Lepisosteus oculatus: one gene and its partners. The protein of the gene in region 3 binds, or shares a complex with, the protein of the main gene of each other region. Links are inferred from orthologs where the notes say so. Each region holds a gene or a part of one and is shown on either strand. Other genes may lie near its edges.

Region 1 (7,180 bases), on a different chromosome or scaffold from region 3:
ATCCTGGAGACAGCTGCGGTGAATTTAATCACGGACAAGGTCACGCTGTAAACCGAGCAGGGAGCTGCGTCAGCATGCCTGGGCTGCAGAGGAATAGGTTCATTCTTCTGGAAGGAAAGGGAAAGGAAAAGAAGAAGGCTCCGAAGCCTAAACAGTGTTTCTTTTCTTGACCTTTCAGAATGGAATAAACCTTTGCGTGATACCATACTGGCATTGATCAATAACCGTTTCTTTTAAAATGAGACAGTATGTCATTGGAACAAGTAAAGGTTTATTCCATGCTGAAAAGAGAAGAAAAGAAACATAATGTTTTGGCTGTGGAGCCAAAACTCCACTTTGGCTGTTCAGCATGGAATAAACCTTTACTTGTTCCTGACACAGCTCCCTACTTGAACTACTTCAGTATGTCATTGGCCAGCTCCTGTGTTTTTCTGCCTGAGAGCGTGAAAGAAATACACTTGTCTTTCCACTTTCTCAATTCCAGCATCAGCCTTATCGAACCAGGCCCTGTGATCACAGAATTCGAGCGCAAAGTTTACGAGGAAGGCCTAAAGACAGACCTCACCAAAGCGGACAAAGTGACCGCAGACATGTTCACCAACATCTACATGAAGAACTACAAACAGATCTTCGAGAGCCTGGGCCAGTCTCCAGAAGATATAGCAGAGGTAGGGATCGGAGACATGCACAATAAGCTCCTGACTTCCAGTATTCTGTTTGCCATGTGCAGCTCCAGTAATTTGTGGTCACTGGGTCAAATATACAATTATTCATTTGGCACTTTGAAGCTTTTTTTAAATAAAAATATAAACCTAGGAGCAGTCGATGATAATGGATCATCGTGTAGCCTGGATGATACCACAAAGCTGTGTTTAAGGCAAACAGCTGCTGATGTTGCATGTGTAGTTCAGGCAGTAAACACAGCATATTGCTGATTTCCTTCTATCACACAGCCTCTCGGAAAGTAACATTATTCTTCAGACATGAAACATATCGCCCATCAGCAAAGAGTTTCACAGAACAGAAAATGAATTATTGCCTATTCTGATTTTATATAACTGAACCAAAATGATAAATTGAAGTATTTCCTGTTTAATTTTCATAAAGATTCAGCTTTTTACATCTGCTTCCTCAGCACACGCTCAAGATCATCAACGCAGGGACCCCACCCTTCCGCCACCAGACCAACACCCTCTACACGCCCATGACCACCCTCAAGTACGCCGACCCCAGTGGCGACCTGCCCATCGACACCTTCTACAAGATGGTGTTCGAGCACGACAAGGTCTTCAACGCCAGCCTGAACTTCATCAAGCTGCTGCGCTGGAGGAGTCGCAAGAGCTTCTCGCTGGGGAAGCCCCAGTCCTAGAGCCGCGGGCATGCCCCTGCGCCGCCGCCGCCGCCCCCTGCAGCTGCTCTCCGGAAGGACGGCCTCGCCCGCGCCCAGCCTCTCTAGCCCCCCCTCGCCAGGATGCAAGCCTGCTCAGGAGACTTCGAGTCCAGGGCTGTCCCGCCCCGAAGGCGGGACAAGCGTGTGGATGAGTCTAGAGCAAAGGCCCGCGTGGTGCATCTTTAAAAAAAACAACTGATTTTCAAACCTGAGTTTTTCCTCGGCGCGCTAATGCTTCATTCTGTAGAGGTATTTTAATAGCCTGAGCTGGAGAGCGTGGAAGATCGAGTCTGAAACAAGTACAGTCCAGTCTGGTGCTGTGTGTGCTTGACGCCATTTCCCTTTCATCTGTTTTTTGGTGTTGAATGGTGAATGGTGTGCTGCCTTGAATGGTCACTGTTTGTCGCTTCTGCTTGTCTGTTGTTATATTATCACCTACAGTAATAACCCACTCTGCCAGCAAGGGCAGTCGAATGAGAGGAACTGGCGCAGAGGGACTTGGAGTGTTGGGCAGCATTGAATGGGCTCTCCGTCTCTCCTAGAGAAAAGGCACCAGAACGGTGTTCATAAAGTCTGAGTCTCGTTCTCGTAGTAAAAAACCCCATGGATAACAGGTACAAAAGGTTACATTCCAATGCAATAAAACAACAAAATGCAAATTGTATATGCTTCCTAAACTGTGTAAACGGATAGAGATGAGATGTGGTTCTATTTAGAGAAACTCTTCCTGTTAATGGAGTGTTAATAAAGGTTGTCAGAGTCCAAGAGTGTCCAGCCTTGCACCTGTGATACGTTTCTCCCAGCTGGTTGTGGGGGATGAGGATTGAGAGAGCTGTAAAAAGACAGTTCTCAGTAATGAATGAGGCACACTGTTTTTGCACTTGTGTTTGAATTCTTTATTCTCAGTTGTTATTGACAGGCAGCCCTGAAGAGCATGTGTACACTCCGTTTACAAGCAGCTCTTCAGAGCCACTGAATTTCTACAGCACATTCTTCATCTGGAACTCACCAAATAAGAATAACCAATTCACAGCTATGCATCTCTACATTATTCAGAGACCAGTGTACAGTATGTCTTCTCCTGGAATGCACTTAAGGTTAAATGCAATTGTCAATTGGCAGTTGAGGTCTTTTGTCAAAGGGGTGTACTGCCTGCATGAAGTACATTAACATTTAATGAAGTGCGTTCGTGAAATTGGTTACTCTGAGTAATAGCGCTATTTGGAGAAAAATATAACCAATCAGTGTCATACACTAGTACTAAAATCAGAAGGGCTCTACCTCTGAAAGTGGGGTATTGATGTACTTTAAATGAAATGTCATCATTTTGCCATTTTACCAATGGTATATCTTTAGTATTTCGTTGTAATTAGAATAAAATGATAACATAAATCAATGTTGCCTGATAAGGCAATAGGTTACTTAACATAAAATCTTTCTGTAAAGACTGTTGAGTAATTAAATCAAAGCCCAGCTCTAGAAACATATGGCCTGGTAATGGGATTTACTGAAACTAAATCCCACAACACAGTGAAAGATCTAAGTGACACAAACACAAATCTTCTGTATATGTAGCCATTTTATCTGCAACAATCAAGCAGGACACCTGGTAAATCTTACTCTGTAACTTCACTTGCCAATGGAAAATCAACCAGAAATGTGTCTATCCTAAAGATAAAGCCCATGTGTACTTTTTCTGGCAAATGGTGAAGAAAACTTTGGAAAAAAAGAAACATGACACCTATCAAAAGCACACCAGCAGCTTTTATAGAAACAGCTTTAGATAGATAGATAATACTTTATTAATCCCGTAGGGAAATTGATGTGTTACAGCAGTCCAGCCCAAGACAAGCAAAACAGACATCAGAATAGTTATAAAACAAAAGACAAACAAGATAAATAAAAATAAATAAATACATAGGTGTGTGCAAAATGTGCTGATCATAGTCACTGTAAAAACAATAAAAAGACTAAGACTAAAGACTTTAGACTAAGTTGTATAAATATAAATTTAATATTATATTTAAAAATAAAACTGAGGTTCTTGGAATAGAATATTCTATATATAATCCATCTATAGAATCACAGTGGTGTAGTTCAGTGCTGTTTATATGAACACTAACCTATCCTCATCTTTAACTTAACTATCATTCTACAGAGTATACATTTATAGTAAATTATTAAACTTTTTGCTATATTCAAAACTTTTTTAAAGATAAAAGGCTGCTGACTGTGCATCGCCCAGGTGGCGGATAACGTGAGATCCTTTTAGATAACAAACGTTATATAACCGCGAGGAATTATTATTATCCTGTGTCGCTAAAGCTCATGGCAGCCAGAAAGCGATCGAAGTAGATGTTGGGGGCGGCGCAGAGTACAGGTCTGTGAATCGGGAACACCGCTGTTGCACCTTCAAAGGAGGTTACTTCACCGCAGCGACTCCTACCCACCCAGCTGAGCAAACGAGTCCAGCATTTCCGTGGGTTAACCTGCAATGAAGTAGCAACCTGTAAGGGGGTAATTTCAGTCCTTTTACTGTTGCCGAACTCAGGATAAGATCAGGCTTGATAAGCCTCTAGGCTACGCTATGGACGTTATTCTCACGCAGAGTTAAAAATGCATTTGTTTGTCTATGCGTATACTGCAGGTCAGCCGACTTCAAGGGAGCTCCACGCTGGGCAATTTCAGACCCAGCCACAGAGCATCCCTCTGGCTCGAACTCCCCCTATTGGTCGCTGTGTGGCAACATTCCGTGACGTCGCCGGATGCGGAAAAACGTCACCCGTTGCAATATGGGATAGCTTCCGGAATCGATTAGAAACCCTGCTGCTTCAACGCCTGGTGCTGTGGACCGAGCACCGAAATGAATTAACAAAAGTATTATGTTATTCTCGGAGCTGGTGTTATAAGCCTTATTGTTTATAACATTAGAGAGAGAGAAAAACAGTCCCTTCGAAACTGTGGAATTACAATGCAGCGGAAGCCAGTCTAAAGAGTTTAGGATCATGTGTAAATTAAATAGCAGCTGAGGCGATAGGAAATCTGCTTGGAGACCGGCTGATTTGATCCTGTTGGTTTCTCCTACGCTTTTTTTCTGGTGGATGAAAAATCCAATAGGTCGCTTTGACAGCGTTAGACACTGTGCAGGGTGCAGCGCCATTGATGTAAAAGCAGGGATTTGGGGTGTACTTAGGAGTTTGGCGGAGAAGCTGTAGGTTGGTGCAGTTGAGACTCCGTTCGGGCCGCCGTGGAGTCGAATCGCAGCTGAGGTTCAGTGTTTCGGGAAAAGGACGGCAGGACAGAATGGCTTCTTCGTCTGGGAACGACGACGATCTCACTATACCCCGGGCAGCTATTAATAAAATGATTAAAGAAACTCTTCCTAACGTGCGGGTGGCGAACGACGCCAGGGAGCTGGTGGTGAATTGTTGCACTGAGTTCATCCACCTCATTTCGTCGGAAGCTAACGAGATCTGTAACAAGTCGGAAAAGAAAACGATCTCTCCTGAGCATGTAATACACGGTAAGAGTCGTTACCGATGCCTATTATTCAGTCTCTTTTGGGGGGGCGAACTGTTTTGCTCGCAGATTTGTGCGGCTAAATCGTTTGCTAATGGGTCTCGTTTTTAACCTCCCCCTTAAAACCACTCCCACTCGCTGACTTTGACAGCGAGGCTTCACACACTGTTGTTGTATTGTGTGGCTTGCTTGTTAAAGGGACAAGAAACAATTATGGCAACGCGTTCTACGGTTTGGGTACAGCCGAACCCTCTGATGTACATATTCCTTCACCTCCTGGATTTATTTAAATGTAACGCAGACAGACCAACCCTGCTGCGAAGCTTTGTCATGATCCTTACAATTCTGTACATGATGGGAGCAAAGTGCTTCCTGAGAGAAATGACAGGAATCCTGATGCTTAGTGTCATGAATTACAGCAGAGGTGCCGGAGGTACTGTGTGCTTTAAACCTGGAACAGTGACTTTCGTGGGTGTCTTAAAACAGGACTGTCTGTTTTGTCTAGCGCTCGAGAGCCTGGGCTTTGCCTCCTACATCACCGAAGTAAAAGATGTGTTGCAAGAGTGCAAAACAGTCGCGCTCAAGAGGAGGAAGGCAAGCTCCCGCCTGGAAAACCTCGGCATTCCTGAGGAGGAGCTCCTTCGGCAGCAGCAGGAGCTGTTCGCCAAGGTAAAGCCGCCAAACTCGCATTCCGTCTCCTCACCTTGTCACTGCAACGCTGGGGGGGTCTGCTACTCTGCCCCAGTGGTGCAAGTGGGAGTCTGCTCTTCCTGGATCATGCGTGCAGTAGTGCTCTGTGCTGTTTGAGGACATAAGGATACAAATGACAGGAGGCCACACCCAAGATGCTTTAGCTCATCCTGGTTGGCGTAGAATGATGCAGACAAGAGCCCCACGGCTCCATCCTGGTTTACCCTGGTGGAGCAGAGCTGGTTACAGTACCTCACTGGGGGTACACCAGCGCTCTGCAGTGGGGACTTGTACCCATAGCCTGCCAGTCAAGAGTCCAAAGGCTCACCCTCTACTCGACACCGCCTTGACCTTCGATCGGGTGTTTCATTTTCTGTGGATGTGCTGCCTTCATAGTCAGAACGCTCTTTAGCCCGCCTCAGCAGAGGAGCAGTCCTCACGCTTACTGAAGTGAGGAATGGGAAGCTTTCGGTGTGGTCCACATCCTCTTTGTCCTGCTGGTGCCGTGACGTTAAAGTACCAGCCCCGTCCAAACCTCGATCTCGTTGAATGTGTGGAAGGGCTAACAGAGCAGTGTACGGTACAGGGTGGCCTCTCCCGTCGGCTGCGTGCCCCAGCCCCTGTAGGGCCAAGACTGGTTTAGATTGCAGGTGAAGGTGAAGCCACAGGAAGTCCACAACAGGAAGATGGGAGCTCCAGCGGAGCCCTAGCAGCTTGAGCCAACGCTGCGGGCTGTGAGGCTGTGGGCTAGAGTGTCTGAACGCCAGTGGAGCTGGCGAGGTGTGCGCTGCAGGAGTGTCTGAACGCCGGTGGAGCTGGCGGGGTGTGCGCTGCAGGAGTGTCTGAACGCCGGTGGAGCTGGCGAGGTGTGCGCTGCAGGAGTGTCTGAACGCCGGTGGAGCTGGCGAGGTGTCCGCTGCAGGAGTGTCTGAACGCCGGTGGAGCTGGCGAGGTGTGCGCTGCAGGAGTGTCTGAACGCCGGTGGAGCTGGCGAGGTGTGCGCTGCAGGAGTGTCTGAACGCCGGTGGAGCTGGCGAGGTGTGCGCTGCAGTAGTGTCTGGACGCCGGTGGAGCTGGCGGGGTGTGCGTTGCAGGAGTGTCTGAACGCCGGTGGAGCTGGCGGGGTGTGCGCTGCAGGAGTGTCTGAACGCCGGTGGAGCTGGCGAGGTGTGCGCTGCAGGAGTGTCTGAACGCCGGTGGAGCTGGCGAGGTGTGCGCTGCAGGAGTGTCTGAACGCCGGTGGAGCTGGCGAGGTGTGCGCTGCAGGAGTGTCTGAACGCCGGTGGAGCTGGCGAGGTGTGCGCTGCAGGAGTGTCTGAACGCCTGTGGAGCTGGCGAGGTGTGCGCTGCAGGAGTGTCTGAACGCCGGTGGAGCTGGCGAGGTGTGCACTGCAGGAGTGTCTGAACGCCGGTGGAGCTGGCGGGGTGTGCGCTGCAGGAGTGTCTGAACGCCGGTGGAGCTGGCGAGGTGTGCGCTGCAGGAGTGTCTGAACGCCGGTGGAGCTGGCGAGGTGTGCGCTGCAGGAGTGTCTGAACGCCGGTGGAGCTGGCGAGGTGTGCGCTGCAGGAGTGTCTGAACGC
Region 2 (7,745 bases), on a different chromosome or scaffold from region 3:
GCGTGCGGTGCGAGAGCAGTCTACCACGTACCCCTACCGACCGGGGTGCACAGCGACGTTCCCGCCGCCCCTGCCCGCACCCTGATGCGGCCCTGTCCACGCTCCGCCCGCCAGGTGGGAGTATGACGAGAGCTACTGCGAGGCGGTGAAGAAGATGGCGCCTTACGATGCCGGCCCGCGGCTGCTGGATGTCATCGACACGGCCATCTTCGACTACCTCATCGGAAACGCCGACCGCCATCACTACGAGAGTTTCCAGGATGACGGTGGAGCCAGCATGCTCATCTTGCTGGACAATGCCAAGAGGTACGACGCAACGGACCACTTCCTGGGGGATAAAGCAGATGGTTTCTGGCATTAACTGCGCCAGTTCTGTTTTTTTTCTGATGTCTGCTCTAGCAGTGCTAATCTCCCATAACAAATTAACTGGCAGTGATCTGTGCAGAAGAGTAAGAGAAACCTTATTTTTCTTGTTCAGACTTGGTCACAGCAGCCAGTGTCTTTTTTCATTTAATTACCTCTCCTGTTTTTAATCCTGTTTCAGCATGTGTAATTTCACCTCCCAGTTACTGAACATACTGTTCTTTCATCCTGAGTGGTCTTGGTGTGGCTGTTCTAGCTGAATTGTTTGAGACCTGGTGAATACAGGACTTGAATCAGGAATTTGGAGGAGGTGTAGCAATATTATATATCTATATGAAACCTCTAGTGCTCCTCTAACATCATTTTAGAATATAATATTAATCGATGGACATGTTTTGCTCGATCAAGCTATTGTTTGCCATGTGAATGGTGTGTGTAGCTGTGTTTCTGTGTTTGCTCGACAGCTTCGGGAACCCTGCCCTGGACGAGAGGAGTATTCTGGCTCCACTGTATCAGTGCTGCACGTGAGTATCTGCATCTCTGGCCGCTCTGCGGTGCTGTTCGTGTGCTGTTTCCCAGGCCTGTCTGCTCGAGTGTAGACATTCCCACTCTGGGGAACTCGGCTCCTACAACTTCTCTGTAAATAATCTGGATATACTTGCCTCACGATTGAAAATTTCAGGTTTCTCCTGTTTCTTCTTGGCTATTTTAACAGCTCATAGCTTTGTAAAAGGATAATGCAGTTTCTTATTTAGAACTCACAAAGCTGTGCACAAAGACCGTTTCCCCAAGAAAAAAGCAACACTTGAAAGCACAGTAACACGTCCTGAAACCCTTTGCTATTGCGTCATTATCATCACACATGTCCTGGGGTCTGGCAGCTGCTCACACAGCGCAGCAGAAACAGAGACGGAGGACGTCTTGTGACTCCACAGTCATGCGGAGGGCTAGTGGTGCCAGGCGCAGGCGTTGCCACCCTGTGAAATTCCTGAGCCTTGGGGCCGCTCCATCATAGGTACTCCAAATTCTAGCTGCCCTCTGAGCGAAGGTCTGTAGTGTGCTTCAGAGCTGATGGCTGTGCTGTGTGTTTGTGCTTTGATGGGCGGAGCGGTGGCTCTGTGGCTAAGGATCTGCGCCTGTGGCTGGAAGGTTTGCCAGTTCAAATCCCGCAGCCAGCAGAGGAATCCTACCCCATTGGGCCCCTGAGCAAGGCCCTTAACCCCAGCTGCTCCAGGGGTGCCGTATAAATGGCTGACCCTGTGCTCTGACCCCCAGCTTCTCTCCATGTCTGTGTGTCTCATGGAGAGCAAGCTGTAGTATGTGAAAAGACAAATTCCTAATGCAAGAAATTGTATATGGCCAATAAAGTGATCTTCTCTTATCCTAAAGCCACATACAGCACCAAAAAATGATGCGGGTCTTGTTTGTCTTTCCCCTGGACTTGAAGGGCGGTTGAGGGCTGTGGGATTCCTGGACAGGCAGTGTACGCCTCCATGTCCGTTAGCTTTTGGCCTGATGAACGCCCCTGGGCCGCTCTCTCCTCTCCAGGGTCCGTGTGTCCACTTGGAACAGGCTGAACCTCCTGCGGAACGGGGCTCTGAGCGCGGCCCTGCGCACGGCCACCGCTCACGACCCCCTGTACCCCGCGCTGGCCGAGGCGCACGTGACCGCGCTGGACCGCCGGCTGGAGAGCATCCTCGCGACGGTGCGGCAGTGCATCGAGACGCAGGGCGCCGAGAACGCGCTCATCGAGGACCGCATGAACCTGCCGCACCCCTAGGGACCGGGAGAGGGGCCTGGGGGGGGCAGGGGAAGGAGCAGCCGCTGTCCTGGGACGCTGTAGCCCCTGCCTTTTGGGCCTCCCCACCCCATCCGGTTTAGAGCAGTGGGGCGCAGGGGTTACCTTCATGCTGCTGGACCTGCTTGGAATTTCCCTGCTTCAAAGGTCAGCATCGCTGGATCCACAGCGGGAGCTTCCATACTGTTAAGTGACATTTCGAGTGTCTACGCCAGTGGTGGGCGTGAGGCGCTGGGGTTGCCGGGCGTCGCTGGACACGAAGCAGAAGAGGAGCGCGGTCTCCTTGCCCACCGGTCTCGGGATTCTGTCTGGGGAAGCCGTCACCGAACTTGCCTCGGGCAGGACTGTGGATCGAGCTGCCGGCTGTAGCGGGGGGCCTGCGGTGCTTTGGAGCCCTGGCTCACTAAGGGACAGCGAACTGTGCACACTAAAACGGCTCTTTCCAAAAGCGCGCGAAAGAGGACTGGGGCCGGAGGGTGGGGTTTGTCTTACTGCGTGAATAAACCTCAAGCGCTGCGGCCAACGCAGTCGAAACCTGCCCTGAGCAAAAGTGTATAGACAATGTGTTAATAATGTTGAAAATAATTCTGGGAATTGTCATTATAATATTATGTAAAAGAACTGAGGATTCAGAGTTTAGGTGTGCTGTATAGCTGGGGGGTGTTTATCTGGACTGGGACGCTGCTGGAATCCAGGAAGGGTTGTACTGGGGGTGGGGGGGTAATTGTGGAGATGATTTTACATTAAAAAATGAGGTTTAGCTGCTTTTTTTTTATTTACTACACCTGACCTATACTTCCTTTCTGTCGTGGTGCGAGAGGAAGTGTAGTGTGTGTGAAAGGGAGTCTCTCTCTGGTCTCCCCAGGAACAAAGCGAGAACACGGCTTCTAAATTAAGAGCCATAAGAAAGTGTGACTGAACCTCCAGCTTCGACTTTCATTTCCTAGGTGCCAACCTTTTGCGGTGCAGCTGATAAAGAAGTAGCATCTAAGACCGTCTCCATTTCTGACCCGGAGCTGAGCAGCCAAGGGTGACGGGTATCACTTCCTAATAGGTCAATTTTAAAATACGGTAACTTGGCACTATTCATATTTCTCTCTCTGTGCAGCCTTTGTGAGACAGAAAACATTTTTCAAGGTGTATTTTCCAGTCCTGAAGCCCCAGATACATTTTTAAAGGTAATAACTCCCCAAGTTCTAAAGACTTGAAATTATTGATCTGTGATCAAACAGGTGATAATTTAGAGATCATAGGGCAGCAAAATCGGGGCATTTGGTTTTAGCCCTCAATTGCACAAAGTACTTGGATTAATTTATCACGAATTTTCATGTTTTCCCAATTTCTGTAAGACTGGACTGGGGCTCTGCAGGATCTGATGCAGGTAAGTCTGTGTTCAGCTGAAACGACTCCAGGCCTGGAAGGCAAGAGGGTTTCTGGTTGAGCTTTATTTATCTGATTGAACTAGTTGTTTGCTTGATGGGTTCAAGTTGAAACCTTTTTTTTGTCCTAAAGGGCTACAGATTTGAAGAGCCCTATTAAACCTTCTGGACAGTGACCCTGAGGAGCACAGCTGGGTTCCCTGGTCTACATCTACTTATTATTTAATTTTTGGAAATGTTTACATCTCCATTCTAATGCGCGGCAGCTTGGTGCTCTAGTTGTCTGCCTGTGAGATTGAGATGAGGTCACCCGGTTCTGTTCAGTGGGTGAAGACTCTTCAAGAAGTTCCTCTGGGCGGATTAGAAGATTTAGGTATTATTCTGCTTATGATCAAGAAGGCATTTATTTTTCTCTACAAAAGTTTTTAAAAGGGTAAGGTGCACTGTGAAGTCCTTACACTAGTTTTTGTGAGTTTATTGTGCATTTGAAACTGGAAGCCGGAGGCTGGGTCCTGTGAAGAGTATGGTATCAGGGTGTGGTATCTTTGGAACAAGTTTTACTTACATATTTTAAGTACTGAATGTGCAACAAAATGCCTGGTGTAAGAGAGAAAGAGATTTTCTTTATAAAGTTGCTCATTTCTACTTCTGCCAATACTAGCACGGATATTCAATTCAAGCTTTATTGTCCCTAGGGGAAATTTGTTTTATATTGTACCGTTTGTTGTAATGGTTTAGATATGCGACTGAGAAACTCATTCATTTTTGCTCCTGTAGGGCTGTAGTCCACCGGGGTTCATAGGTAAACTATAATCGTTCATCACTAAAGACCTGGAAACGGTGATATACGACTGCATTGAAGCTCTCATGAATCAAAGTCAAGAAGTGAAACGCATTGCTGCTATCAAGGACAAATATACTGATGGGGGGGTGGAGAAACGCAACATTTTCTGGAATGAGAATACTATAGGAGGAGGAGGAGGAGGTGTTGCGTTTCTTTTTTCCATCAGTGTCTTTCATGTGTGATACGAACTATATTTTTCTTCGTAACTACGAGACGCACATGAAATATTTTTTTCTTGATGGCAGTAGTGCGCTTCCTTAATTATGAGTTCAGGAAGGTGTAAAACGCAATGTACAGCGGTCCTCTAAGACACGCATGTAAAGACATATCCGTGCCTTTGGTACCTGGACTGCGCTTCCAGCTCTGATACTGTAGGTGGTGGCGTATGTCAAAGCGGAGTGCTATAAAAATACACCAATAGAGGCGTTTTTAAGGAAGTTTTGTAAGGGAGCAAAGCGGAAGACTGCAACTAGGCGGGCTTTCTCCCCCCTTAGCAACGGTTCCTCCGTACAGCCTAGCAACCTCCTCCGGATCCAGCATAGGACCGGGGAGTAGTCCGGCGCTATGGCGGCCCATGTCAGCGAGCTGGAGGCGGCGAAGAAGAACCTAAGCGAAGCCCTGGGAGAGAATTTGAAGCAGTGAGTAGGCCAGGCTAGGCTGCCCGACCATGCCTTTAAAGACGAATCCCCGCCCAGGGCTGTAATTTACCAGCGGAGCTGGCTCCCAGCGTCAGACGCTGAGTAGGCCTTGTAAAGCAGCGGGCTTTCCTGGCGTTGTGTTCCCGTCTTCCGCAAGCAGTACCTGCTCGCTTGCCTTCTGTTTAGAAACAAATGCTTGCTGTATTTCTATTCGTTATTTAATGCTTTTATTTGTTGTCTTCTTTCACCTCGAACACAGGAAGTTACTTTTAAATTATTTTATTTTTCTTAATTCTGAGCAAAAGTAGCACAAATCACGGTGGTGGGTATTCGAAACTCTGCTAGTTCTGTTCGGTCTGCTTGTTTGTCTTATGGACGATGTGCATTACTGTTCAGTTCAAGCCGCTTTTACAAGAGCCAGAGGTTTCTCTCCGTTTGTGTTATTATTTGAGAGAGTTTACTGCAACATCTGAGTCTTAGTTACTGTCGCAAAGTTGGAGCTCAGCTCTTGTGTAGTTAACGGGACTCGCCGGCGCATTTCGTTGTTTGGAATCTCGCTCAGGGCTGTTCTTGGCTTTATTTCACCGGATTGAAGTCGTTTTGCTGGCAGGCAGTTTTGTTCTGGATTCTCGGTCATTAATTTAACGTTCACTTGTAAGTGTCCTGTTCCACCAACCTTCCTGACTTCGCAGGAAATCTGCGCTGTGTCGTGTCTCGTCTCCTGCACACCTCTGCAAAGCCTCCTCACAAATTTAGTTTTGTTCCGGGCTAAATTCCAACGTGTGGCAATGGTGGCGGTAAATTCCCGCTCACAGGTGTATTCAGCGTGTGCTGTGTACAGCACCATCACTTTGTCCCACACAACCTGGGGCGCGTCGTGTAGCTGCAGAGGTTTGGAGTGTGTCGCAGACGGAGGCGCTCTCTTGTACAGACGTGTCTGTGACTTTCTGCAGGTACTGGGCAAATCTGAAGCTGTGGTTCAAACAGAAGATCAGTAAAGAAGAGTTTGACCTCGAGGCCAGGCGGCTGCTCAGCCCAGGGAACGGTAAGAACAGGCCTTCTGCAGGGGGGCTGCTGGGTAAGACTTGTCCTGCTTTATTGTAGTTGGTGTCGAAACCTTCAGCAGGTAAAAGTCTTCCACTGCAGCGTTCGGACTGCTCTGTTTGGTGGAATATTTTGTAAATCACCATTCGTTGGATTTTTTAAAATTTATCCTCGCACGTTCCTTGCTTTCTAACAGTGTTGTCTTGAATAAAGTGATTCCGAGCCCAGGGTTTATCGGTTGGGGTAAAGCATTCAGGGCACGTGTCTTTGAGAGTGTCCTGGTCAGTAAGTGTCCCTATGTTGCATCTTTCATTTTACAGGAATATAAAACATTTTACACACACTTTCATGTTTAGGATCTGTCTAGATATTTGCTTGTGGCACTTATTTTTAATAATAAAACGGTGTTAAACCCAATGTTCAAAAAGTTTTGAATGCCTTCTGTAGATAGGTGTATAAAACTCCTTATTTTAAAGTAATTGTTTATGAACAAACAGAATCCTCACCAGTTTTTTTTTTACACCCACTTGATTTGGAATTGCCAGTTGAGTGTTTCTCATGACTCAGCTTGCATCCATAATCCCTGCTACCTCAAAGGGGAATGTGCTCAATTGGCGGCAGACTCCCCTCACTCTTCCATCTTTGAGCCTGTTGTCACAGGCAGCAGAGGCCCACACCTAAGGCTCAGTGCTGATTGGAGGAGAGGCGTGCCCCTCGCCAACAGCCCAGCATGCCTGCAAGTACTTGGAAGCCACAGGTGTCATTGTCAGCAAGAGCCGAGAGAGCCCTTGGTGGACTAACCCTACTCATCCTTGGCACTCAAACCACCATGCTCAGTTACAGTTGGCTGGTGACATGACCCACGCCTCATGAAAAGCGCACGTTTACTGGATCCAGTCATTTTTTGGCATAGTTTTTTGTTCTGAAGAAAATCTGCGAAGGTCTGACTTAACCTCCTAAGGCACTTTGACATATAAAAGATGTGGCACAATACATTTACACTGGTTTTAAAATGTACACTGTAACTCAAATCTTGTCAGTTTGTTACTTTTTTTTTTAGTTTTCCTCATTTGAGAACTTGGCTTCTTAATTCTGTGAAGTCAGCAGTTTCATTTTACCTTTTCAGTCAAGTGTGGTAAATATTAGAAAGTTTGAATGCCAAAAACATTTAGGAGATTAACCCCTTGTGAAAGAGGAGGATGGATTGCCGCACACACTGACACCTGCTGGCATCTCTCTGCAGTGCACTTCCACAATGACTTCCTGCTGGCCATTCTCACCCGGTGCCAGATCATGGTCTCCACCCCAGGTAAGAGGCTTTGCGATCGCAGGGAATTTTTTTTCCTTTGTCAAATTGAAAACAAGACCACAGTCAAACTGTAATATGTCTGGAATGTTGAAACTGTGTGGTAGCAGTTCCAGTTTGAATTTTGCCAACTTTAAAAAAAGATAATACTTTTAACTGTCCTGGAGATTCCATGGTTATCCTACATACAGTCATACCTGAACTCTTCTCTGAATCAGTAAATTGGCATCCTATGCCTAATATTTCTTAAAATTCCTTCATTTCCCCACATGAGTTTTGGTTAGTAGAAGTTCCCTTTCCCTGGCACACAGACAGTTGTCAGTAGATGGCAGCAATCTACACTTAAAGTTCGGGTGCAGTAAGACGTAAGTCT
Region 3 (7,420 bases):
GTTACCACGATGCAGTGCATGGCTTGCTTAGCCAATACAGGATTGTTTTTTATTGGGTTAACTGCATCTCCAAAAAGTCGTAATTGTTTAAATGATTTCCAAGGGAATAGCACTTGTGCGCTTTTCTGCTTCTCAACAGGACACATTTGCACGAGCTAAGAACTGGGTGAAGGAGCTGCAGCGACAAGCCAGCCCCAACATCGTCATCGCCTTGGCGGGCAACAAGGCCGACCTGGCCAACAAAAGAGCTGTGGACTTCCAGGTGAGCTTGTTTTCTGGCACGTGCAGGAAAACCACCTTAAACACAATCCTCCCGGAAAAGGTCCTCGAGCTACACAACACTGTACGCCGTTTTCTCTGTCGCCATCAGTCGACGCGTCCACTTTACAGCAGACCTTGCGTTCGTGTGCGGAATACCGCTTTGACGATGTCTGGGGTGGTCAGTGGGCTGAAACACGCCAGCGGGGGGGGGGGGGGGCGACTCGGGTACAAGCTCCGTAGACTCATCGCCACAAACGTGTCTCGTCGGTCTTTCCAGGAAGCGCAAGCTTACGCCGACGACAACAGCCTGCTGTTCATGGAGACATCCGCCAAGACGGCGATGAACGTGAATGAAATCTTCATGGCCATAGGTACAGTATCTGCCCCTTGGTGGGGGGGGTCACCCAGCCTGGACTATTGTCTTGCAAAATGCAAAAATCAGTCTCATTCAAGTGAACCCCCACCATCACACTTGTGAAAATTCGCCCTGCCCACATTACCACGATGCTCATGGTACAAATAGCAGCTTTGTGCATAAGTGTCTGTCAGGTCCTACGTGTACACTTTCAAGCTAGAGAAATGTATTCATTTCTATGTCACCTTAAGTAAAGAATGTATATTTGGACTTCCCTGGCTGGGGTACCCCCTTTTTCCAAGCAAAGACCTGCAGGGGGTTCCCTCTTTTCAAGCACAGCTGTTTGTTTTCAAAGTAGGTCCGTCAGTGGAGAAGTACTGATGACAGCTGGTGCATGTTACTCTAAATAATATTATTATTAATATTAATTGCTTACACCTATATAGCACTTTTCTGGACACTCCACTCAAAGCGCTTTACAAGTAATGGGGATCCCCTCCACCACCACCAATGTGCAGCATCCACTTGGATGATGCGACGGCAGCCATAGTGCGCCAGAACGCTCCCCACACACCAGCTAAATTTGGACTCTTGCGCCCAAATTAATATTGGGGGTGGGGGGAGAGACGTTGATGGTGTCTGGATCGCCATCCAGGAATCCCGATCCTAATCAGTATCTGCCGAATTGTCATTCCAGCTCAACTCTCGGTGAGTGCTTCGCTGGTTTAAATATATGTTGGTTCTCTTGGCTCCTAAAAGTGAAAATTTAATTAAGGTTACTGGAACGTAACCTCAGTGTAGGAGATGAGAAATCTAGTTCTAAATCAGAAAATGACTTGAACGGAGGGCTCCATTAATGAAGAGCAAGACTGAAAATGGGCAGGCCTCTGCAGTCGGGTGGGCCCAGGTTCGAGAGGGCTCATGCTCCCTGGATGCCAGTTTGAAAACCTGTGCTATGGGTTACTGAGGGTCGCGACCCCTCCAGCAAAGCAGCGCCGCCTGAGCTTGCCGTGTCTGTTATCTTGTAGCCAAGAAGCTGCCGAAGAACGAGCCTCAGAGCGCAACGGGCACAGCGGGCAGGACCAGAGGGGTGGACCTGCAGGAAAGCAGCCCTCAGAACCGGAGTCAGTGCTGCAGTAATTGACCCGCCGAGAGGCAGCGGACCGAACAGAACCACCCGACGACGTCGCGCAGATCCACCCGAGCCCATTCTTCCCGATCGCACTTAACGGAGCGTGCAGCTTTGTGGGTTTTTTCTCCTCCCTCCCCACCTTGGTTTTGCTGCTTTGATTTTTTTTTTCTTCTTTTAAATCATAAGCTGGAGAGAATCCATTCCATCAGCCTCTCTCTCATCTTTCTGTACAAATACTAATTCAGTGGTGTCTTAAGTCACTTTTTAAAAACAAATGTATTATACTGGCTTCTGCTCTTACCTTCTTCTCTGGTGGTGGGTGCATGTAGCGAATTCTTTTTTTTTTATTTTTGCCCCTCTCCCACCTTCCACCCTCGTCTTTTGCCCCTCCCCAGCACAAAGGCACGGGAGGGTGGGAGAAATTGGGGGAGTTGCATCTCTTTCCAAATTAACCATCTTGTAGATTATTATTGATATTATTACTATTCTGGCACAAGCAAAACAGGATATAATGAATAGGATAGGCCTAACATGGTTTTTGATCATTTATGTGTAAGAATCACAACTATATGCATAGTGCATTAACAGTCATTATTATACCAGTAAGTCATTTTTAGCATTAATGTAACAATTTTTCAAATCTGTTGAACTTATAAAAATGGAAAAAAAAGCCAGATTTTTTTTCTGACCAAAATCACACTTACGAGTATTGGAGATTATTTTGCTGTATTTGTATTGTATATTTTTTTCTTCAATATGTAACCAATCAGTACTTAATGGTCAATACAGTACCTTCCCAATATATAAATGTATTTTTTGTCATCTTTATTTTTGTGTTGGAAAGCATGAGTTTTCTTTTTTTAACTGGTCCTGTTTTTTTTTTTTAATTGGGGTTTCTGTTGTAACATGCACTGGTGCCGTCGATCAGGTAGAGACTTTGCAGATAACATCTTGTCTTTGTTTTTGGAGTCCTTTGGAATCGTGCTGTGTTGTCACTAAATGACATTAATGACTGGCACAACAGAACAAAGCTGTCCTGTCAGCTGGAGTGTGCTGTCACTGTGTGGCTCAGCTCATGTGTGGAGGAGTCCTGTTTTCAAGTATGGGGAGGCTCATTCTGTAATTCTACCAATAAACATGGAGGGGGACGTGTCTAAGCAGTGTTGTCCACTGAATTTCACTTGCACGCACGGATTAAAAACAATGACCAACAAAGAGTCAATACCACAGGAGTCTGACGCTGTTCACTCGCACATTTGAGAGATGTCATTGTTAAATTTGCCCTTAAACCAAAGCAAATAGGACAATTTAACAATTACACCTAATTACAGTGAAACTGTGCAAAACTTTTTTTCTTGAGTGTCAATTGATTAGATGGTCTCTGGTCCTGCTGTCATTCAAGTAAACAGTCTGCTTCATTGATCAGAGAAACTGCAAATTAATGATGGATCATTGATTAACATCCTATAAATTGTTTCACATAGGCACAAGGTCATTTTCTATAGATTACTATAGTCTATGCTGTGTATAGTATAAACCTCAGATTAATTGAAGCGTTATTGAAAAAATGAGACATGAAATAGTTTCCCAATCCCGGACCAACTTTAAAATCTTGTCCCAGTTTTAGGTGTCCAAGGATTTTGGTCCACCTCAGTCTCCCCATTTAATGTAACTTGCTGGATGCCTCAGAATCGAACTTTGGGTTTTTACTGCAGGCAAAATGTTTAGAGGTGGTTCAGAAGTCACAGAATTGAAGTATATGGATATCACCTGCTGTGATAGTTTTTGGTAGTTGTGGTAGCTGTGGTATCCTGGTCTGGTGAGACCACAATGCCTTTTGGTTTTTGTACCAAGCTGATTAATTGCAAGCAAAATTAGTTTATTTACATGTGCATTTTATTTAATTTTTAGGTCTTATAAAGTTGTGTGTTTGGGTAGCTCTGTGCCAATCCCAAGGTTTGAGAATTCCTCTCATTCAGGCGTCAGTGGAAATGCAGCTAATCCGATTTAGGGAAAATAAGTCACTTCCGGAGTATTAAATACGTTAACAAGTTCCTTAGCGCTGCCTGGGCTTTGTACTGTGGATGAGACGCGATACAAATGTACGACAGGCGTTGTTTCTACGCGTGAGAGCTGATTTTGGCTCCATTGTGTCTGAATACACATTTCGCTCGCCAGACCTTTTTTTTTTTACCCTGGTGACATGTTAGATGCTACACCTTTCTAAATAACACAGCGAATTTTAATTCTCCTTCTACCAGCTTTTTTTTAATTACTTTTCACCTGAATCCCACCTACTCCAAAAAGAATATACAACAAAAGCCGCGTCAGTAACAACAGAGTATCGCTGCCTAGTGGTTAGGAGGATTAGCACATCCAGCTGGCACAAATAACGTTAAATTAAACATGCATGATAATGACCAAATATACATTGGTCATTGTCATGCGTGTTGTTCATTCAAGTCCTCCGGCGTAAGCCATATCCCACAATGAGAGCTCGTGACCTTATTTATTAAAAAGACCCTGTATCTAAAGCAATTTCGTAATTTAAAACAATCCATCTAGGCAAATGTAAAAACAAACGGCAATTCCCAGAACGCCTTTCGGTGACGCATGCGCAGTTTGGAGCCAAGCCGCCATCAACAAAACTTTATTGTTCACAAACACAACGGCAGGAGAGACAATCGACTGCGGCTATTGCTATGGCGGACCCGGCGGCGCAGGCCTCCGCGCAACCCCGGCTGCAGCAGCAGGCTCAGCCCGGCGGTGCGGGAGCGTCGAACACGAGTTCGGGCTCCGGATCCGGCAACAGCGACCCAGCCCGGCCGGGTCTGAGTCAACAGCAGCGGGCCAGCCAGAAGAAAGCGCAGGTCCGAGCTTTCCCGCGGGCGAAGAAGCTGGAGAAACTCGGGGTCTTCTCCGCCTGCAAGGTAAGTCGGCGGCGGACGATGGGATGAATGCACGGTGTGGGGGGGCAGGGGCGGGAGACCCGGGCCGTGTGCCCGCTGGGCGGGCTGTCCCTCCGGCCCCTGCAAGCGACCTGTAGGTGTGTGTGTCGAGGGCCGTGAAGTGATCAATGAATGGGATCGCTCTTCAGCTGATCCAGAGCGGGGCGTTCAGCGTCGCACCTACTGGCCCGCTTCCCAGCACACAGCGTGCAATGCAAACTGGTCCAGATTACGTTTCTGTGGAGTTTTGGCATTAAAACGTCCCTGTCATGCTTAACTACCTTCGTTTATATTTGCCCGGTGTCGTCTTAACCCCGGATAACAAGTGAAGCAGCGATGATATCCGGCTATAATGTTGTTACTGTGATTCCAGTCCAAATCGTCTTTTTAAATCCCAGGCTCATTGAAATCACCAGAACTCGCTACAGTTCAGAGCAGTTTTTTTGGTCTGAAACTGAACAATTGGCCGGCAGAGAATAATTATACATTTAATTATTAGTATTTTATTAATTGACGTTTTCAAGCTGACAGTAGGCAGAACATTAAATTGCAAATCGCAAATTAGACGCAGTCAACCTACTGAAGTTTGGTTCCGCAGTAACATTAAATCAGTATCGATCAGTACATTTTTTGTGCATTGAGTGCAATGATTTCTATTTTTATAGGACCGCTTGGTCGCGCCGTGGTAATGGAAGATGAACGGAGACCGATTTTCGCGCTGCGGAGAAACGCTGGAGATATGATCTCGTATCTGACTGTTTGTCTTGTCTTTGAAGGCCAATGACTCCTGTAAATGCAATGGCTGGAAAAACCCTAACCCTCCCACTGCCCAGCGGATGGATCTCCAGCAGCAGGCAGCCTGTCTCAGTGATCCCTGCCGCAGCTGTGGGCACGCTTTAGGTATCGCCTCTCCGCCGCCCTCTCCTTCAGATCCGCTGCATGCTGCCGGCACTGGCCCGACTTTGATACCTTAGTGTTTTCTGAATATGGCATACTGATTCTCTTAACAAGGTATCTTCACATACTCTGCTAGATCTTTGAGTGTTGGTTTCCTGTGTGCATAATAAGGCATTGGCTGTAAGATTAGGACTTTAAATGAAAGAATAAAGAAAATGAGATCACTGGCTGCACTGGTTAACATCTAAATTGTTTTGGTTACATATGAATGTCTCAGGGAGGAAATCGCCAACTCGTGAAATAACGCGTAGTGTTTCGCCCACTAAGGGGTGAAAACCTCGTATGGTAACGCCAGAATCCTGCTCTTCTTCCCTGCTTGGCACAGCGGATCACGTTTCCCACCTGGAGAACGTCTCCGAGGACGAGATCAACCGCCTTCTGGGCATGGTGGTGGACGTGGAGAACCTCTTCATGTCCGTGCACAAGGAGGAGGACACGGACACCAAGCAGGTGTACTTTTACCTCTTCAAGGTACGAGCCCTGCTGCTCTCTCGTCTTCTAGCGCCCCCTGGGGTCCAGGCCTCCAGCCTGGGAGCGGAGCAGGTATTGTAGCCCTGTAGTTGAACCGGCCCGGCCATCTGGACATAGGCCATTTCATTTCACCCCCTTCCGTAGGCCTTGAGCTGCCGGTGACTCAAGGAGACCTCTGAAACGATACAGGTAATCGGAGCTAGGTGGCACAGCCCGCGCAGCAGCCACTAGCCCTGGGGAGGAGCAGTGGCACTGTGGCTAAGGATCTGCCCTTGTGGCTGGAAGGTTGCCGGTCCAAATCCCGCGGCCGGCAGAGGAATCCTACTCCACTGGGCCCCTGAGCAAGGCCCTTAACCCCAACTGCTCCAGGGGCCTGCGTGGCGCTGGCTCTGCGCTCTGAGCCCAAGCTTCTCTCCCTGTCTGTGTCTCATGGAGAGCAAGCTGGGGTCTGCGAAAAGACAAATTCCTAATGCAAGAAATTGCACATGGCCAATTAAGTGATCTGGTCTTATCTTGATTTGGAAATGTGTTCCTTGTGGCCGTGTCTTCCTTTCGGAGATGTCCAGGGCGAGCTGCGAGGCTCTTCTCAATGGCCACTCATGTGCTTGCGTTCTCCCCATGTCTTCCCAGCTGCTCAGGAAATGCATCCTGCAGATGAGCCGGCCAGTGGTCGAGGGCTCTCTGGGCTGCCCTCCCTTCGAGAAGCCCAACATAGAGCAGGTGAGGTCTGTAGCTAGCGCCCGGCGAGCCGAGCGCTTCAGAGATTGCGGTGGTTCGAAACAGTGTTGTTGTATAATGTGCTCCGCATTATACCGTCATCCCTCGCTTTTCGTGGGTTCATACTTCACGGTTTCGTTTATTCGTGGGTCAAAAAGAAAAAAAGAATTTGGGGAGCTACCGGGCAGGCGACGGCGTTTCCGCAGGCCCGCGTGCCTGGTGTGTTAGTCTGCTTCTGAGCCTTTCGCGTCCGTTAACTGTTCTCTGACACGGACCCTGGGGAGCTGGAAGAGCCTCTGGAGGAGGACGAAGATGAGTTCACCGAGGAGGAGCTTGACGAGCCTCTCAAGAGCGCCGGTGAAGAGGAAGAGCAAGACCGGCAGTGTCCCCCCGAGCCTTTTGCAGCTCTATTCCAGGACCTCGGAAGACTGGAGGACAGAATACTGCACTCTGACCCTTCAGTGGATAGGCGCGTTAACGTTGTTCGGCACCTGGAACAGGTCTTCGAGCCGTACCACGTGAAGTTCAAGGGGTTGAAGGAAAGCAAGAGGCAGCTCCCCATCGCAGTGTTTCTGCAAA
Region 4 (7,689 bases), on a different chromosome or scaffold from region 3:
CACAATAAAAAGATTAATAATCAAATGCACTAAACTTCGAATCAGTTGTATTTTCGAATAATTACGTTATTTGCCTGAAATCACCGGGTAGTAAACTGTGCTGCGGACATCACTTTTAAAAAACGGTATGAATTGCAAATAACTACAAGATAAAACCATGTGTCAGGCACTAATAACGCGTAACGCTATCAAGCATGAAACTCACACAGCTTGGAGCAGATCCATATTAAAGCAAAAACACACTATATTCTTCCGTTCTGTGTTGCCTTAGTACTGCAGCTACTACCCGGAATGATCATTAATCGAGTCCGGTAAAAGCCTGCGGCCTGCACCGAAATAAAATTTTCAAGCTCGCCGCTCAATTTTATTTTGAGAGATCCTAACAAACGAGCAATAATCTGGTTATACTGCTATTATAAAATCGTGGATTTCGTGATTTATAAAACGGCTGCTGTCAATTCCTTACCCAGTTCCAAGCAGCCCGTCTTCCCAAACTTCCCCAATCTTATGCCCGGGATCAGCGCCGAGAAACTGCAGAAACAGACGGGGATACGCAACTTAGTTTTGGCCTGGAGGTGCAAAGAATGTAAAAGATGACTATTAGCGCGTTGATGGTGGTATAATTCCGAGAAATTAAGCGCCGAAAAGGGTAATATATCACCGGGAGATATGATTCAAAGACAATACTTTTTTTGGACATTAATGTGTGAGCGCCATGAACCTGCAGAGAACGCTAGGCCACGCAATACCGTCAAGTAACCGGTAGAGGACATTGCTCTGTACATCCTAGCAATGTTGTGCCAACGAACACAACAGGTAGTGATAAAGTCCAGTACAATAATTGAAGTTTTCTAACATTTATGGGACTTTATAGTATTAAGCGTTGTGTATGACAGGCAGAGGAATATAAAGTCACTTCGTTTCCTAAGATATTTTTATTAATGCGATGAAAATAACAATGATGTCTATTTTCATAACAAAAAAAATAAAATAAAATATACCCTGTTCTCTGGACCTGATAAGATCGCATTTTCATTAAAAGAGACATTATGAAAATGAAATGTACTTAGGCATTGTGATATTGCCAGTATTCTTGGCAGCAGAAGTCACTGGTTTTACTTAAATGAAGAACAAAAGAAAATGTTATTTCTTCCGTAAAGCAATGGAAGGATGTTTTGTGAAGGATGCCTGCAATGCTATCAGTTGTTGTTTGCTTAAGGTGTGCCCAAATGTTTCCACATCTTTGGACTTATTCATTTTGTAAGCAGACAAAGCTTCTGACTTCCAGTGAAAACTAAAAAGGATGTCCTGAATACAGGAGCTGATTTCACAGTTTCAGTGCCATTTATGCCAAGAACCCAGTGTTTAAGTTATGATCATTGATCAAAATATAGATGTTGCATTTTTAGTGAGGTCTTATTACCTTAGAAGAACACTGGGCCTAAGTACAAGGAACACGATAACAGTGCAGTGCTCAGATGCAGTTATTGCGGCCAATGCAATGCACAACAGCAGTAAACAAATACAAAAGTTTGCATTTCCCAGGGGTTTAATTTGTCCACATATTCTTGTCCACAGAGAATTTTACTTTTTACTTTTTCCCTGCAACACATTTTTAAGAAGTCACTTATTGCATGAATTTACAAAGTGCAACAAGTTCTCACACCATCTTATGGGAAAACTGAAGCCCATTTTAAAGTGAAGGATCAAACATTTACGTCTCTTATTTCACTAATTTGCTTTTACTGTGTAAATCATTTACTAACATAATTTTACTAACTATCCTGCTAGAATAATGGAAAATTACTAACTGCAACTTAAGTGTGAGCCGGCTACATACCTGGAACATGAAGGGCAGAGCCAGCATCGGACAACCTGAACAGAACTGAGAGTGCCCGATATCTGCTTAACCCATGATAAACAAAATCTAGAAGTACATACTGTCTGCTTAAACAATAATTAAAGGAACCCAAGAATATTCTTACAGTTTATCACGTACAGTACCAAGGCTAGCAGCCTTGGCTTTACAATATATATGGCATGGAATTGTACTGGAACTGTTCTGGGTGGGTTTTCTGTTTGTGATTTTGTATAAAAAGCGTCCTTTTGTATCTGAATTGAGTCATTGGCTTTGGCTCCCGTATGCACACGTAATAAAGGTAATAGTAGTTCAGGTGGGTAGCTGCGTCAGCATGCATAGGCTGCAAAGGAACAAGTAATATGTTTATTCCATGCTGAAAAAAAGAAGAAAGAGAACACAACGTTTCGGCCGTGGAGCCTTCTTCAGGTGTGACACACTTGTACTACCGTATAAGCTTGTGAACTAGAAGTAGCTCAAAAATGGCAAATTTTAGAATGAGGAAAATCATATTAAGCTTCACTGAAGGATTGCAAATATCTTGATTACTAATGCAAATTACCAGTGCTATTCTCTGGTTTTATGATATGTGTGAAATATTATCATGCAAGAGATATAGTGTTAAGATATTTGCTTGAAAGCCTAACAATAAGAAACGAAACCCTTTCTCTTGAATTCTTGCCATGAAATGACATGAGGAATTTTTTTTTGCCGCGCTTCATTAATAACCACTCCTGCAGCCTCAGAAACCCTGAGGTTGATTTGTCACAGTTTTAACAAATTAATTAAATGTGGAGAAATCAATTGTAATGTCTTTAAGCATTTTTCTCCATGTAAACCATAACATTTATATATTTAGTAAGAAAATCTGCAAAAACAGCACAACTGCAACTAAAATAAGAACAACAATAAAAGCAATAATTATAGTTGTTGTTGTTGTTGTCATGATTGCTTTGATGTGCTATAGGGTGATGCAAAGCTAGGAAGAGATTAGCAGTATTTATGTAATATGGACTGTAACACTGAGTGGAAAATAAACATCATGGAGTGTACGCCCTGTTTCATATGAATATTACTCACCTGGTCCCCGCCATGAGGACCTGTTCAGGGCACTCCTTTGTTCTGCACACCTTTCCTTCTAGAAACTACAGCACCCTGTGGGATCAAAATACTGCTGACGTATTATTTCACCCTCTGCTTTTCACCTGGATTATGTTGATACAGATATACAGTACACAGATACGCACACTTTGGTCAGTCCCAGGAAGCTGTGGATGAAATCTGCTCTGTTACAAAAATGAAATGGAGTAGTCTAATGTTAGCTATTTGTCATGTTAAAGAAAAGCATACAGTACTGATCATTGTAGACCAACAAGTATAAAATACCATTGAATTATTTTGTTTTCAAAATTAGATTAATATTTTTAACTTGTTCGATAACTAAAAAAAAAGGTACTTGCTAAGTAAAATATCATTATTGTGTTAAAGGAACAGTCTAGTACAGTATGTGGTTCTTTAGATGCCATTTCTACACAACCTGATATCGCGGCACTGATATCTATCCACCTTTACAAAATGGTGCAGATCAAGACAAGAGTATTCCTAGCGTCTATTCAAATTTTCTAAAAACCTGACCATATCTTGGATTAAAGCAACAATATCATGCTTTTGAATCGCTTATTTGGAAATTTTTGTGAAAAGAAAAACTGGATCATTTGAGCCCTTTGTCTGACAAACATATTGACGTCTTAGGTTTCTTTATTATGACACTAAAGACTCTTTCTACACACAAAAGAACAAAGGTCTGCCCAGTTTTGCTGAGGTTCTATGAATGTTGTGTAAACAAACTGGTACAATGAAGGAGCAGTTCTTTAATATTCTGTTTTGAATCTGTTTGTGAGGGCAGGTGTTGCAAATGTTTGACATCTGTCTTCTGGTATTAAATCCTTTGTGTAGACACCATACATTAACCCCTTACTGGAGTGGCACAATATTTCTTTTCTCACATTCTAGTCTTCATGTGTTGTTTTCTGAATCTTGCTATTTACTGTGCCAAACAAAAGTGAAAAGGCATTTCCAGTCTGACTACTAGGGAACTAACAAGGGAAACCAGATTATTTTGCACGAAGCCTGTTAGTGTACTTCTTCACCTCCATTCTTTCTGCAGAACCACATGAAGCCTCTCTGAGGCCCACTTTTCCTTGATTAGAAATGAGCCTGTAAAACAAAATTCTAAACCGAAACTATGATTTGAATCAAATGCAAAAACTGCAGAACCAGAGAGGCAAGCAGAAAGACAAGAAAAACAGGTGTAATTAACAACACCTTTATAAAAAGAATGACTTTTGAAAGCTGATTTACAAATAGTGAGATCCAATCATGTAGTATAAATATATGATTTTGTTTTTGTCTACAGTAGTGTTAACATTTAAGAAAATGCTGGTGTGCATGTTGTAACATATGTTTTGTGTATAGCTTTATTACCATGTTCTAATTACAGTATATGTCTTGAATACAGGACTGAGTAATCAGAACTAAAGTACTGAGCAGGTACAGAATACAATGCAGTAAAGTAAGGCCATGAAGATAAGGTACCAAAACTGTTGAAAATCTACCCCTGCCCAACTTTGGGTTTTGCGACTCGAATATTTGCTCATGCTCAGAAGAACAGTTTTACTGTTTTTGAAGAAAGCACAGTGAATTCAAACAATACACACACCTGCCAGTTGGTGTTCAGCATTCTTCTAATGATTCACCACATCCAAAGTGTTTAGATTAGGTAAACTGGAAACTGAGGACAGTACTGTGGTCCTGGTCCTGTTCCTAGATTCCTCTACATTGATTTGGGGTACCCAGAAAAAAAGGACTATGTTTTGAAAGTTGTTTTAATCTCACCTGACCTGACAGATATGCATGTTGCATTGCTTCAAAGTGCACTTATGATGCCACTGATGCATACATTTCTAGGTCTGACTTTATGAATTAAGATGCTGCAGCAAGGAGCTGTGTGTTAAAATGTCTTGGTTTTAGATTTAAACAATCTTTAAATTCTTCATAAATGGAGTTGTTTACATGTGGTGTCAACATTTTCACAAGCCTGCACTGCTTAAGTTTAAACTTTTAGACTACTCACAATGTTAAACATAAAACATTGTTAAATGTCTAAAACTCTAAATGTTATGTTATACATCATCAACTTCAGATCATTTCATGTAATGCCTAAACAACAGTAATCCATTTAAATGCTACTAGCTAGTTATGAGAGCTTAATAAAAATTTAGAACTTTAGTTTGCAATAGCTATGCTGGCTAAGACTCAACAGAGATTTAATGAAAGGCTAGTCAACACGTGAGGTAGAATATACTGCGGTTTTTGTAGTGCCAACTTCAACAAACTACAGTTAGAAAACAAAGTATATCTTATTTAATACTTCAACATATTACATTTTACACTAGTAGAACCAATTGAACATATTGCTTAAGTATATTCCAGATTTTACATGTATGTACATTTATTATAAAAGAATAACATTTCATTTTCAAATTCAAATATTAAAATATATTTATCTAACTTGAAACCTAATGTAAAGCACATTTGAAAAACAATGTTAAGTCTATCACTGCATGGGTTTTGAAATACCAAGTATCAGTTCTGAGAAGCAAAACACATACAGTACCACAGCTATTTTGGTATATTTGTATAGCCTTTAGCCTGCTATGACATTTGCAGAATTAACCATCAAGTTAAAGAGGTATTTAACTGTTACATTACCAGTTGAGGAAAACAAACATGTCGAAGTGACAGACCTGGCTTTTGTCATCCTTAATGGCTGAGTAGTAGTCTGTAGATTTGACGGATTAGGGTTCATAGATCATCCCATGTGCTCAAATTCAAGTTGGTAGCTTGCACATGATTCACTGAAACTAAGCAGCTGTCTGATGTTCAAGACTACTGTTTCTTACGCAAGATCAACTGGTAAAACAGTTTATACAAAAATATTTTTCTGTAGTGCGCTGTAGGAAAAAGAGTTTCAGCAATACAATGTATTATCCATAAGTAGTCGGTGTTTTGAATTTAAGAGTATATAGGAGTTTGGACTGCTTTTTCGAGGCCTAAAACAAAAAAAGTGCTGTAGGGGACATAAGTTCAAACAGTGGCAGGATGTGGCTATGGATTCCTTAGCCATTTGTACATCTTTCCAAAGTCAGCAAAAGGCCCAGTCATTTCACAGTTGAACCAATATGATGAATTCTTTAGGTTTCTGAAGTTGCATATAACAGGATTACAGAGGAAAAATACAAAATAAGAAAAGAGGACGAGAGTATTTATTGTAAATTCCTCTGCAAACTGTAGGCTTAAGTGTAAAACAAATGATTTCTGAATTTGTTTATGATGGATAAATAACATTGGGAAATTTGACATTTTCAACCCCTTTAATGTACATCAACACTAACAAGTCTTTACATTTTTTTTCTTTAGGCAAACACTGACATTTGTTACATAGCGGCTTGATGTGACTATTAAATAGGAATAAAGTTTTTGTTGATTTATAGGATTTGCTACATTTCAATAGTTATTTTATTTCAGACTCACTGGGCAAGAAAAGGTTTTGCAAATGTTTAGAAGCACGAAAGCAGCCACCACCCCACCAACATTTTCAGGCAGTGATGAGGCCCCTAGCTCTTCAAAGTAAAATTACAACAGAAAAGTTTCAATAAAAATGGCAATCATTTAGGAGAAAGTTACTTTATTAAGGCATCAGTGATACATCTAGTACAATCATACGCAAGTGGCTTAACACACATACAAAATGTTTAAATAAAATGAAAGGTGAGAGAAAAGAAATTATCACGCAATACTATAATGCAACCATTACACAACATGTCAATTACTGGCTTATCAATAAAAAGGTTAACTAGTTTTAACATGCAGCCTTTACATAACAACAATCTCTCCAAATAAAATAATGATTTGTGGAATTGACCATTGTATGGCATACACCATCAACTAAGTTTGCTCCTGAAATTCTTGTGTCAGTGTACCAGTTATGTTATGCTATAAACAGTAAATGTGAGCAGACTAATCAGTACACTTTTCACTTTATTTGTTCTATGGAATTCTTTGATTTACCTTTTACTTGCTAAGTTTAATTTTTCCCTCTCGATATAGGTGTTCTACTTAAACTGGCTTGAATGTTTTCCTTAACCAAATGCTGTGTATTCTCATACTCTAATATTAAAAAACAAACAAACAAACAAAATATTAAATTGATATATAATTTCAAGGCACTTGTGTTGTAATTAAAGGCAAAGTAAGATAACTAGTCTAGTAGAAAATTCAGTAACAAATCAACTTAGCACACCAGAAAAGGCTATTATATCACCTGTCCATGATTAAATGAAGGCATGCCACAATATCTCAGCATCAGTTACAATCATAATTGGCCTTCACTGCATTGTTCTTGAGATGACAGACTATTAATCTTTAAATGTTAAGCATATATAATAAACAGGAGATCAAATAAATCCATTATCTGAATCACAGGGTGTGTAAGCTTGAATCTTTGGTTGGAGAGGCTCAGTTCTATAAAATAAATGTAGGAGGACAATTCCAATAAGAATGGTCTACCATGCAGACAATGTCTTTATTAGCCAGCTGGAGAACTCATAAGGGAGTGTAGTCCCTTCAACACAGTCACAATTAGAACAAAACCACTTTTCTGTCTCCCCTATAGGTATAATATTCCGAATTGCCTGGGAGTGTGTGGTACACCACTCACTTGCTTCGTCTCCCACAAGACTGACATCCCTTGCCACTTCAGACAGCCTCTC

The links.
Region 1: kat2a (region 3) and dr1 share a complex: the UniProt entries of both Homo sapiens proteins name them as parts of the ADA2A-containing complex. The link is inferred for Lepisosteus oculatus from reciprocal best matches to the Homo sapiens genes KAT2A and DR1.
Region 2: kat2a (region 3) and tada1 share a complex: the UniProt entries of both Homo sapiens proteins name them as parts of the STAGA transcription coactivator-HAT complex. The link is inferred for Lepisosteus oculatus from reciprocal best matches to the Homo sapiens genes KAT2A and TADA1.
Region 4: kat2a (region 3) and yeats2 share a complex: the UniProt entries of both Homo sapiens proteins name them as parts of the ADA2A-containing complex. The link is inferred for Lepisosteus oculatus from reciprocal best matches to the Homo sapiens genes KAT2A and YEATS2.

Annotation. Positions count from the first base shown.
Region 1 is NC_090704.1:1,929,510-1,936,689, forward strand, and holds the start of dr1 (protein Dr1), read left to right. Parts: upstream 1-4,163; 5' UTR 4,164-4,693; coding exon 4,694-4,913; intron 4,914-5,414; coding exon 5,415-5,578; intron 5,579-7,180. Other genes in the region: retinol dehydrogenase 8, read left to right, coding at 485-668, 1,136-1,369. UniProt on the Homo sapiens protein: The association of the DR1/DRAP1 heterodimer with TBP results in a functional repression of both activated and basal transcription of class II genes.
Region 2 is NC_090704.1:31,671,032-31,678,776, reverse strand, and holds the start of tada1 (transcriptional adapter 1), read left to right. Parts: upstream 1-4,731; 5' UTR 4,732-4,948; coding exon 4,949-5,022; intron 5,023-5,975; coding exon 5,976-6,067; intron 6,068-7,309; coding exon 7,310-7,375; intron 7,376-7,745. Other genes in the region: fam20b (glycosaminoglycan xylosylkinase), read left to right, coding at 115-306, 828-887, 1,912-2,143. UniProt on the Homo sapiens protein: Probably involved in transcriptional regulation.
Region 3 is NC_090723.1:5,256,021-5,263,440, forward strand, and holds the start of kat2a (histone acetyltransferase KAT2A), read left to right. Parts: upstream 1-4,404; 5' UTR 4,405-4,450; coding exon 4,451-4,678; intron 4,679-5,472; coding exon 5,473-5,596; intron 5,597-5,978; coding exon 5,979-6,124; intron 6,125-6,754; coding exon 6,755-6,844; intron 6,845-7,420. Other genes in the region: rab5c (ras-related protein Rab-5C), read left to right, coding at 140-262, 539-632, 1,645-1,760. UniProt on the Homo sapiens protein: Protein lysine acyltransferase that can act as a acetyltransferase, glutaryltransferase, succinyltransferase or malonyltransferase, depending on the context.
Region 4 is NC_090708.1:11,813,395-11,821,083, reverse strand, and holds the start of yeats2 (YEATS domain-containing protein 2), read right to left. Parts: upstream 3,010-7,689; 5' UTR 2,939-3,009; intron 746-2,938; exon of another isoform or gene 532-745; 5' UTR 467-531; intron 275-466; exon of another isoform or gene 206-274; intron 1-205. UniProt on the Homo sapiens protein: Chromatin reader component of the ATAC complex, a complex with histone acetyltransferase activity on histones H3 and H4. YEATS2 specifically recognizes and binds histone H3 crotonylated at 'Lys-27' (H3K27cr).